2 linked regions of the Arabidopsis thaliana genome follow. The protein of the gene in region 2 interacts with the protein of the main gene of each other region in a biochemical or structural test. Each region holds a gene or a part of one and is shown on either strand. Other genes may lie near its edges.

Region 1 (3,154 bases), on a different chromosome or scaffold from region 2:
ATATTTAGATCAATAGAACCTCTATTTTGTCTTTCACCAACTTGTTCAAAATAAATTATATCTGTTGATTCGGTCGGTTTTTGATAAAAACACACCAAAGTATTATAGAGTAAACCACTCCATTAGTTCAACAGCTCAATGATTCAACGGACATCATAAATTCATAACCTCCGAACAGATTTGAGTCAAACGGCCATGAAATTCACGAGATCTACAGTTTAGGTCATCATACTTTCTGTTCTGAGTGTAAAATACCTTCCAACCTAATAATATTATACTAAAGTATTGATATTAATTAGTTTAGAACTTCAAATTAAGAATCTTACATGATGCCCTTTTACTATGCATTATGCAAAATGGACAAAGAATTATCAAGAAAATTTTCAAACATGTATTTAGTCTAACTTTTGTTGTCAGCAATACAAATCAGTATATTTAGTAACTAAACCAACTGAGTCAACAATTTAAAACCATTATTTCAAAGATTCCTAATTGTAAAAATGTAGAAATAACCTTCATTTTATTTCTCTTCATAAAAGAGTAGGAGAAAAGAGACAATTACAATCACGGAAGAAAGAAACCACACGAGCATATTATTCCGATTCTTTATATTTTTATTATTATTATTGCAATGCTAAAAGCCTTAAAGATTAAAAACTAATCCATAACGATCCATTTTTTTCTTAATCCAATGATTCATAACTATAACTACGATTAGTTTATTGATTAGCTTAAACATATAGAGCTTACTTCATCATTTTCTTTGTGAGCTTAGCAAGTGAAGTAAGGTTATACCGAATAATGTTATCAACAAAAAATATTGTATCTTCCTCGCTAGTTCCTTCCGGCACATCCACCACGTAACTCTCCACCACCACCGTCTTCTTTGCCATATCCTCCGGCGACGCGACCACCTTCGTTTTCGATTTGTAATTAACAAGCCTATGGTTACCGCCAATAATACTTACCACCATCACGTGAGACTCATCATCTAGCTCTTCGAGCCTCTCCGTGCTGAAATCCGCCGGGAAGCCGGAGACTAACGTCACGTCCCGGACGGAGCCTTTTCCTTCTCCTCCTTTGCCGCCGCCGCCGCCAGAGCGCATGGTGCAACTTTTGACGAAACGTTGATAAGCTTGTGGTTTGTCGAAACTACGTAGGATGGACCACACTAGTGGTAATGGTGCTTCAATGGTCTCGACTACGCTAGAGCGACATCGTTTTTGCTTAGAACTTTCCATTTTCTGTTTTGTTTTTCTAATGGGTTTGTCTTTTATCGACGTGTATTTTCGTGTCTTACTTTAGAATTTTCGTATTCACTTGTTTTAAAGCATATCGAACGAATCTACGTACATATAAATGAAGGCAAGCCACCGACTAAAATATTTTTATAGTGTTTTATATTGTTTAATTTATTTACGAATTCTTCATGTAATATTAAACTTTAGAGTTCGATTCGAATTCTTCTTACTATATACTAACCAAAAAACATTTTACAATATAAACTTGTACACAAGTATTGACTGCCTTGTATAGTGAAAAATTACACAATCTTGTTGGCATATTTAGAAACTTTCTTTTGCTTTTTGATAAAAGGCTTGCATATTCTGGAACTTGGTTTTATCAAAAAGATTAACAAAACCATCTGTGAAGGGTATTCTGACAAGAGTGATAGGGAATATGGTTTTAACAAACCCTCTTTGAAGGTTTTTCTTTTGACTATATCAACCATTTAAACAGAAAGAGAGATATACGAGTATCTTTTCACGAAGAATTAAATATCTTACCAACTGATAAAAATTACCAATATTATATTAAAATCTAGTCGGTCTATTTTGGAAATTTGCTGCAGCAATGTTTTGGAGCTAAATATAGATAGATGTGTCATTGCCCACGAGGTAAATACAGATGTCATTTAAACCGGAAAAGCACACAATGGAATTTAGCGAAACACACACTTGTTTACAAACATAACAGTGTTTCTCTTAATTGGTTGCCGACCAGAAAAAAAAAGAATCCAATCTTTTTTCCTTCATAAGTGTAATGTTCTACGTATCCAATCCGAGAGCCATGCAAGTTCTACATATCCAGGGTAGGCATATTCAATGTTCCATCAGTCTATTGCCTATTAGAAATAAGGCCCGTATAAGCCCAAACTTTAATGATGATATTTTCCATTTATACATTTATGCTTCACCCCACACAGCACAAAATCCATTCTGTTTTGGTTTTGGGTTTCAAACTATCCAGTCCGTTTGTTAGTCCTTTTCTTGGCTTTGGTTTTATGTTTAGCCTTCCTAGACTAAGATCATGTTTAACGGCCGGCATTGTGTCACCTCCATGGTTATATAAATAACAAAAGTTTTAGATGAAAAAAAAAACTCAATTCCAATGTGTAATCTGTAAAGACATGAGATAAAATGTAATAGATTTTTTTATATATATTTATAAGTGGATTATAAAGGTAAATTGCAAATTAAAAATGGGTAAAGATATGAAGTAAAATAGAATAGATTTCCATAAGTGTATTATAAGAATAAAAATAAAATACATGGAACAAATTATATTTGGATTTAAGTATTAAAAATATGACTTAATAAACTTATAAAATTCAAATTATTCTTCTCTTAGATATCCATCTCGAGAAACATGGACATGATGACTATTTAAAATCCAAATTTTCATAAATTGCGTCTTAGAGTTGTAGCATATATGGGAATTGAGCTCAAGCTGAAATATATACATATATTGTTGGGGCTCACAAGTCACAATCAAAAACAGAATCGCAATTTTGGTATTTCTCAAACTTGCTTTCTTTATGGTAAGCAAGTGAAACCAATGCCCATTGCCACCCTCTGAACAATCTTATCGGCACCATTGATAAATTGTTTTGCAACCGTATCACAACTTTCTGTGTTATTAAGAATAAAAAAAGTTCGAAGGTAATGGAAGTTGTTCTAACAAATGGAGTTCACTACCTTGTAGGTTAATAAAAAAAAAACCTTTGATTGAATGTCTATTTATCCGGTCTAACAGAAAAGAATACGTCAAATTTTTTATTTTTTTTTATCTCTATCAGTAAAATTATTTATTGATGATCAACAAATTTTTACACTCAAAGAAAATGAGACGGGCGCAAGTAAGCCGAGTTAAT
Region 2 (4,919 bases):
TAGTTTTCAGTCATATTTGGTGATCAAATTAACTGACTTTAGTGCCATAGAGTCTTCAGAAAAATTTATTGGTGTTTCCATGCATGCTTCTACACATTAGTTTCTTTTTGCAGGAGATTTGGACCCCACACAAAGTATTTTCACTACAAACACTATTCTTTCTCATTATTTTCCAACTTTTTCTGAATTGATCATAGGATTTTTGGTAAGCAACTTCCCTTCATATAGTAATTCTAACCACACGCAAAATTATTAAACCAAATTTCCGCAAGAAGATCATAAAAAACTGAATAAACAATTTAAACAAACATTGATGTACGAAGATAACATTTCTATCATATATGGTTTATATATAATAACCTACTAAAACAGCCAGGGATTGAAATTAAGCTCACTAGTTTTTATTTTCTTCACATAAAAAAAAAAACAAAATCACTATATCGGCAAGTTAAGTTTTCAATCATTAAAACCTAAAACTAACCACCCAACCCACCAATGATTAAAACTATATCCCAGTCCCAACTAATCACAAATTTAAGGTAAAGTGTGTTTGAATCATTTTTTAAGAATTTTAGACAAGCTTTTTCATTATTATCTTCCTTTTAGATAACTTACACATTTATATTAGCTTAATATTTTGTTTGTTTTAGTTTTTAGCTAAACCATATCATTCATGTAGAGAGAACCACCCTAACTGTTATGATCTATTCGACTCGTATTAATTCTCATCAATATAGCAAAATATTAGGATTGATCGATCCACATATTTCAGTTCACCCACTTTAATATATTTCAAAGACAGTTTGTAAACATTTATTACGGTTTTCGTAGATCTTGAGTATTTGAATAAATAATGATATGATTCTTTGTATCTTGTACAGTTGCTTATTTGAGTAGACATTAATTACAAATCAAATCTGTTAGCATAAAATATACATATATCGCCGTTTTTCTTCATTTGTAGGAAACCAAATAAAGAATAAAAGGCATATGGCACTGATGGACTAAACTGGCATAACTATGCTACGTGTTTAATTGGTACAAGTCGCTCAACCTGAGGAATCGAGAAGTTGTAGATGATCACTATGTGACATGTGTTGCACCGAAAAAGAGTGACTAGTGACGATTGACGATTCGTCAACCTTTTTCTCCGAAGATATCTCCAACGTTATGGTTAATCCCATGATTTGGTTTAAGTATACTTACCGTTCAGGTTTTATAGAAAATACTACTCGAGATTTGGAACGATCAGTAAATGTTATTCCAGATTTAATATAGTAGAAATTGTTTGTTTTCACTTTTCAAAAAGATGGTTTTCAAAATTTAATTCTTTTTAAAAATAAGAAAATTGATATAAACCTTTTCAATATTGTTACATTTATAGTCATTGTTTTGACATTAATGTTTTCATATTGAAAGCAAAAGGAAACAAGATGCAATATTTCGTATATCATGAGTTTTTCATTTTCTATAATATTTGATGAATTAGTCCAGAACCAGCCTGATCCTTGTAGTTCACATGGTTTGAGAGATCAGCTCCGGCTCATGGGTTCAAATTCAAGCAAGGAGAAGAAGAAAGGAGTTAAGACACAAGAGCCTAGCTAAACGACTATCGTCATGAACCCAAAACCGGATGCGGTTTAACAAAAACCGAAGGCGTCTCCACGTGGACAACAACTTAACACCTGAGCCTAACACGCGAATACATCGAAACACCGACACGTGTTCTGTCTTCCTCGTAAGCTTCTTTATGTTCAAAGTGTTCTCTCTTTCTCTCGGCCCCATGTATATAAAGCGGTGCTCTCTTGATCCACCGAAACGAATTTTGAAAAGATGACTGAAATCTACAGAACAATTTCAACCGGACGTGGAGACGACGTTTCTCCGACTAAATGCCGTGAACGTCGTCGTCGGAGAATTGAGATGCGGAGACAAGCGGCGGTTTTCGGCGAACCTAGTTCGTCTAGGAATCGTGATCGGACGGACATGGAAGTTTACTCAAGTTTTGACGTTCCATTGAGGAAACAAGCTCGGAGGTCAGAGATCGGTGGTCTTCCGGCGGATATCGGGGGCTTTTTGGCACCTCCGGCGGCATCTTCTTGCCAAAAATCGGAAGCGCCGGTGTGGAAGGGAGAAGAAACGGAGGATGAGCCGTTGTACGGTATAGTTTCGGTTATGGGAAGATCTCGTAAGATGGAGGATTCGGTTACTGTTAAACCGAATTTGTGCAAACCGGAAGTTAACCGGCAAAGACCGGTTCATTTCTTTGCGGTATACGATGGCCACGGCGGTTCTCAGGTAAGAAAATTAACCAGGGGTGGTTTGGTCATTTAATATAAAGATGCTGATGTGATGCGTGGACAGGTGTCAACATTGTGCAGCACGACTATGCACACGTTTGTCAAGGAGGAGCTAGAGCAAAACCTCGAAGAGGAGGAAGAAGGAAGCGAAAACGATGTCGTGGAGAGGAAATGGCGGGGCGTGATGAAACGGAGTTTCAAGAGGATGGATGAGATGGCAACGAGTACATGCGTGTGTGGGACTAGTGTGCCGTTGTGTAACTGTGATCCGAGGGAGGCTGCGATTTCGGGTTCAACGGCGGTCACTGCGGTTTTGACGCACGATCATATTATTGTAGCCAATACTGGTGACTCACGTGCGGTGTTGTGTCGAAATGGAATGGCTATTCCTCTGAGTAACGATCACAAGGTGGTGTTCTTGTAAAGGTTTGAGAATATTGGAGTTTCTATTTTGAAGTTGTTGAGTTTTTTGCAGCCGGATAGACCAGACGAGCGTGCGAGGATTGAAGCAGCTGGTGGTCGAGTTTTAGTAGTGGATGGAGCTAGAGTTGAAGGAATTCTAGCCACGTCCAGAGCCATAGGTATACCTTTCTCAATTCTCATATTGTAGTAAAAGATGATTTTAGTTGATAGTGTTGAAGATGGCAAGGAACTAGAGCCTATAAGGGCAATAATAATCATTTCGGATTTGGGGTTTAGGGTTTTAAGTTTACTAACTAAGGTACTATGGATTGGTTTCATTTGGTGCGAGTTCTTTTGTTGATTAATTCTAATTCTATTTTCAAAGATGTTTTATAATTGTTCCTTTAAAAAAAAAATATGTAAATTTTACTCTCTTTTTTTTGTCAAAATGTTAACTAGAAATTTTACATTGGTCCTAATAGTTTAACATTTGACAAAAAAAAAAAAAAACAAAAAAAATTATATTTGCAGCATTAACTAGAAAACAAAAATAATTGAATCATTTTACGAAAATAAAAAATGTGGGCATTCATACAAACCATCTCATGGATTAGAACGGGAGAAGTATTTTTCTTAACTTCAAAAGTATTTAAATGTGTCTTATCTTTGTATCTTTCATTGTTTGATCATTTAACCAACTTAAAATTTATTTCGGTTATACAATTTATTAGACTAAACATGAAGTTTTAGTATGGAAATTGTTCCTAATGTTGTGTTACAATTCATGGAGCAGGGGACAGGTATCTAAAACCAATGGTAGCATGGGAACCAGAAGTAACATTCATGAGAAGGGAATCTGGAGATGAATGCTTAGTATTAGCAAGCGATGGGCTTTGGGATGTACTCTCGAGTCAGCTAGCTTGTGACATAGCTAGGTTTTGTCTCCGCGAAGAAACTCCCTCGAGCCTTGATTTAAATAGAATGGCTCAAGAAGACGACAATGACGGAGAACAAAATCCTTCAAGGAGTGTATTGGCTGCAACGTTGCTAACGCGGTTGGCTTTGGGTAGACAAAGCAGTGATAATATAAGTGTGGTCGTCATTGATCTCAAGAATAGCTCTCAGTAAAACTAGTTTTGGATCCTTTTTTTGGTGGTTGTGCAATTAAGTGGTTAAACCAAAGAATAAGATGTTGATATAGCGATGAGCCTTAATTAGTTTTAGGGTTTAGCGCCCGTCTTTGTTTTGTTATGAATTGGGGTTACCAATACACATTAACACCGGCGAATGTGAAAGGAAAAGAGAGTTGTTTGGATATGGGCTACAAGGTTATTTAGTGGTTTGGCCATGGGCTATTAAGGGTATTTAGTGGTTTAAACAATAAAATAAAAGTTAACTTGAGAGAATTTGTTCTCTAATTTTGTTTGTTGTATGTGTGTGATCATTTTGAAGTTATTGATCGTTTAGCTATTTAGGTGGTATGTGTGAAATAAATAGATAAAATAAAAACGTAGTACTGCTTTGGTTTTGTTCGTTGTAGTTCATTAGACGCCGGTCTTGGTCTTTTATATTTTTTTGATGGACTGATCATTTCCAATGGTTAAAGTCATCTCTGTCTACAAATACTTACATTTTGGTACAACCTGAATGAAGTGAATTTAAGGCTGAGATTTTGAACCAGCCCTAACCCTACTCAACCGTGCAGTTTTATATTTGGTTCAACAATGCTATATAGGCTTTTGGGCCAATTACCAGATTGTCTTTACTCTTTAGGCTTTAAAGGAAAAAAAAAAGAGATGTGCAAAAGAATCAAAGAGAACAATTCAAGAAAGAGAGACAAAAAGACAACTCTTATAGTTCGATGGAAATGGAACAATTCGAACAGGTTTGACGAATACAGAGTTTTGGTCCTAAATAAAAGGGAGATCAAGAATCAAGAATTGTCTTTGAAGTAAAACAAAAAGCGTGAGATGGAGAATGTTCTCATGAATAATTCTTACATTACTTTTTGTTCTTTTCTTTTTGGGTCATTATCGTCTCAGTGTTTGTGTCGCACTTTTCTTTGAATCATAATTGTGTTTGTGGGCCTTTTAGCTTCTCTCTACGTCTTGTTTAGTTTCAAGTTTGGACCACAAAAGAGAGTGAGAATCAAGAATCTTTTTTTTTTTCTCCACTTTTTTCTTTTGTGTATATATTCTTTGTATTTTGTTTAAACTA

Evidence for each region.
Region 1: the proteins of AHG1 (region 2) and PYL13 form a complex in vitro, tested with the Arabidopsis thaliana proteins (one study listed by BioGRID).

What each region holds. Positions count from the first base shown.
Region 1 is NC_003075.7:10,252,446-10,255,599, reverse strand, and holds PYL13 (PYR1-like 13), read right to left. Parts: upstream 1,242-3,154; coding exon 747-1,241; downstream 1-746.
Region 2 is NC_003076.8:21,025,083-21,030,001, forward strand, and holds AHG1 (Protein phosphatase 2C family protein), read left to right. Parts: upstream 1-1,792; 5' UTR 1,793-1,833; coding exon 1,834-2,298; intron 2,299-2,364; coding exon 2,365-2,709; intron 2,710-2,775; coding exon 2,776-2,881; intron 2,882-3,495; coding exon 3,496-3,830; 3' UTR 3,831-4,106; downstream 4,107-4,919. UniProt on the Arabidopsis thaliana protein: Negative regulator of abscisic acid (ABA) responses during seed germination.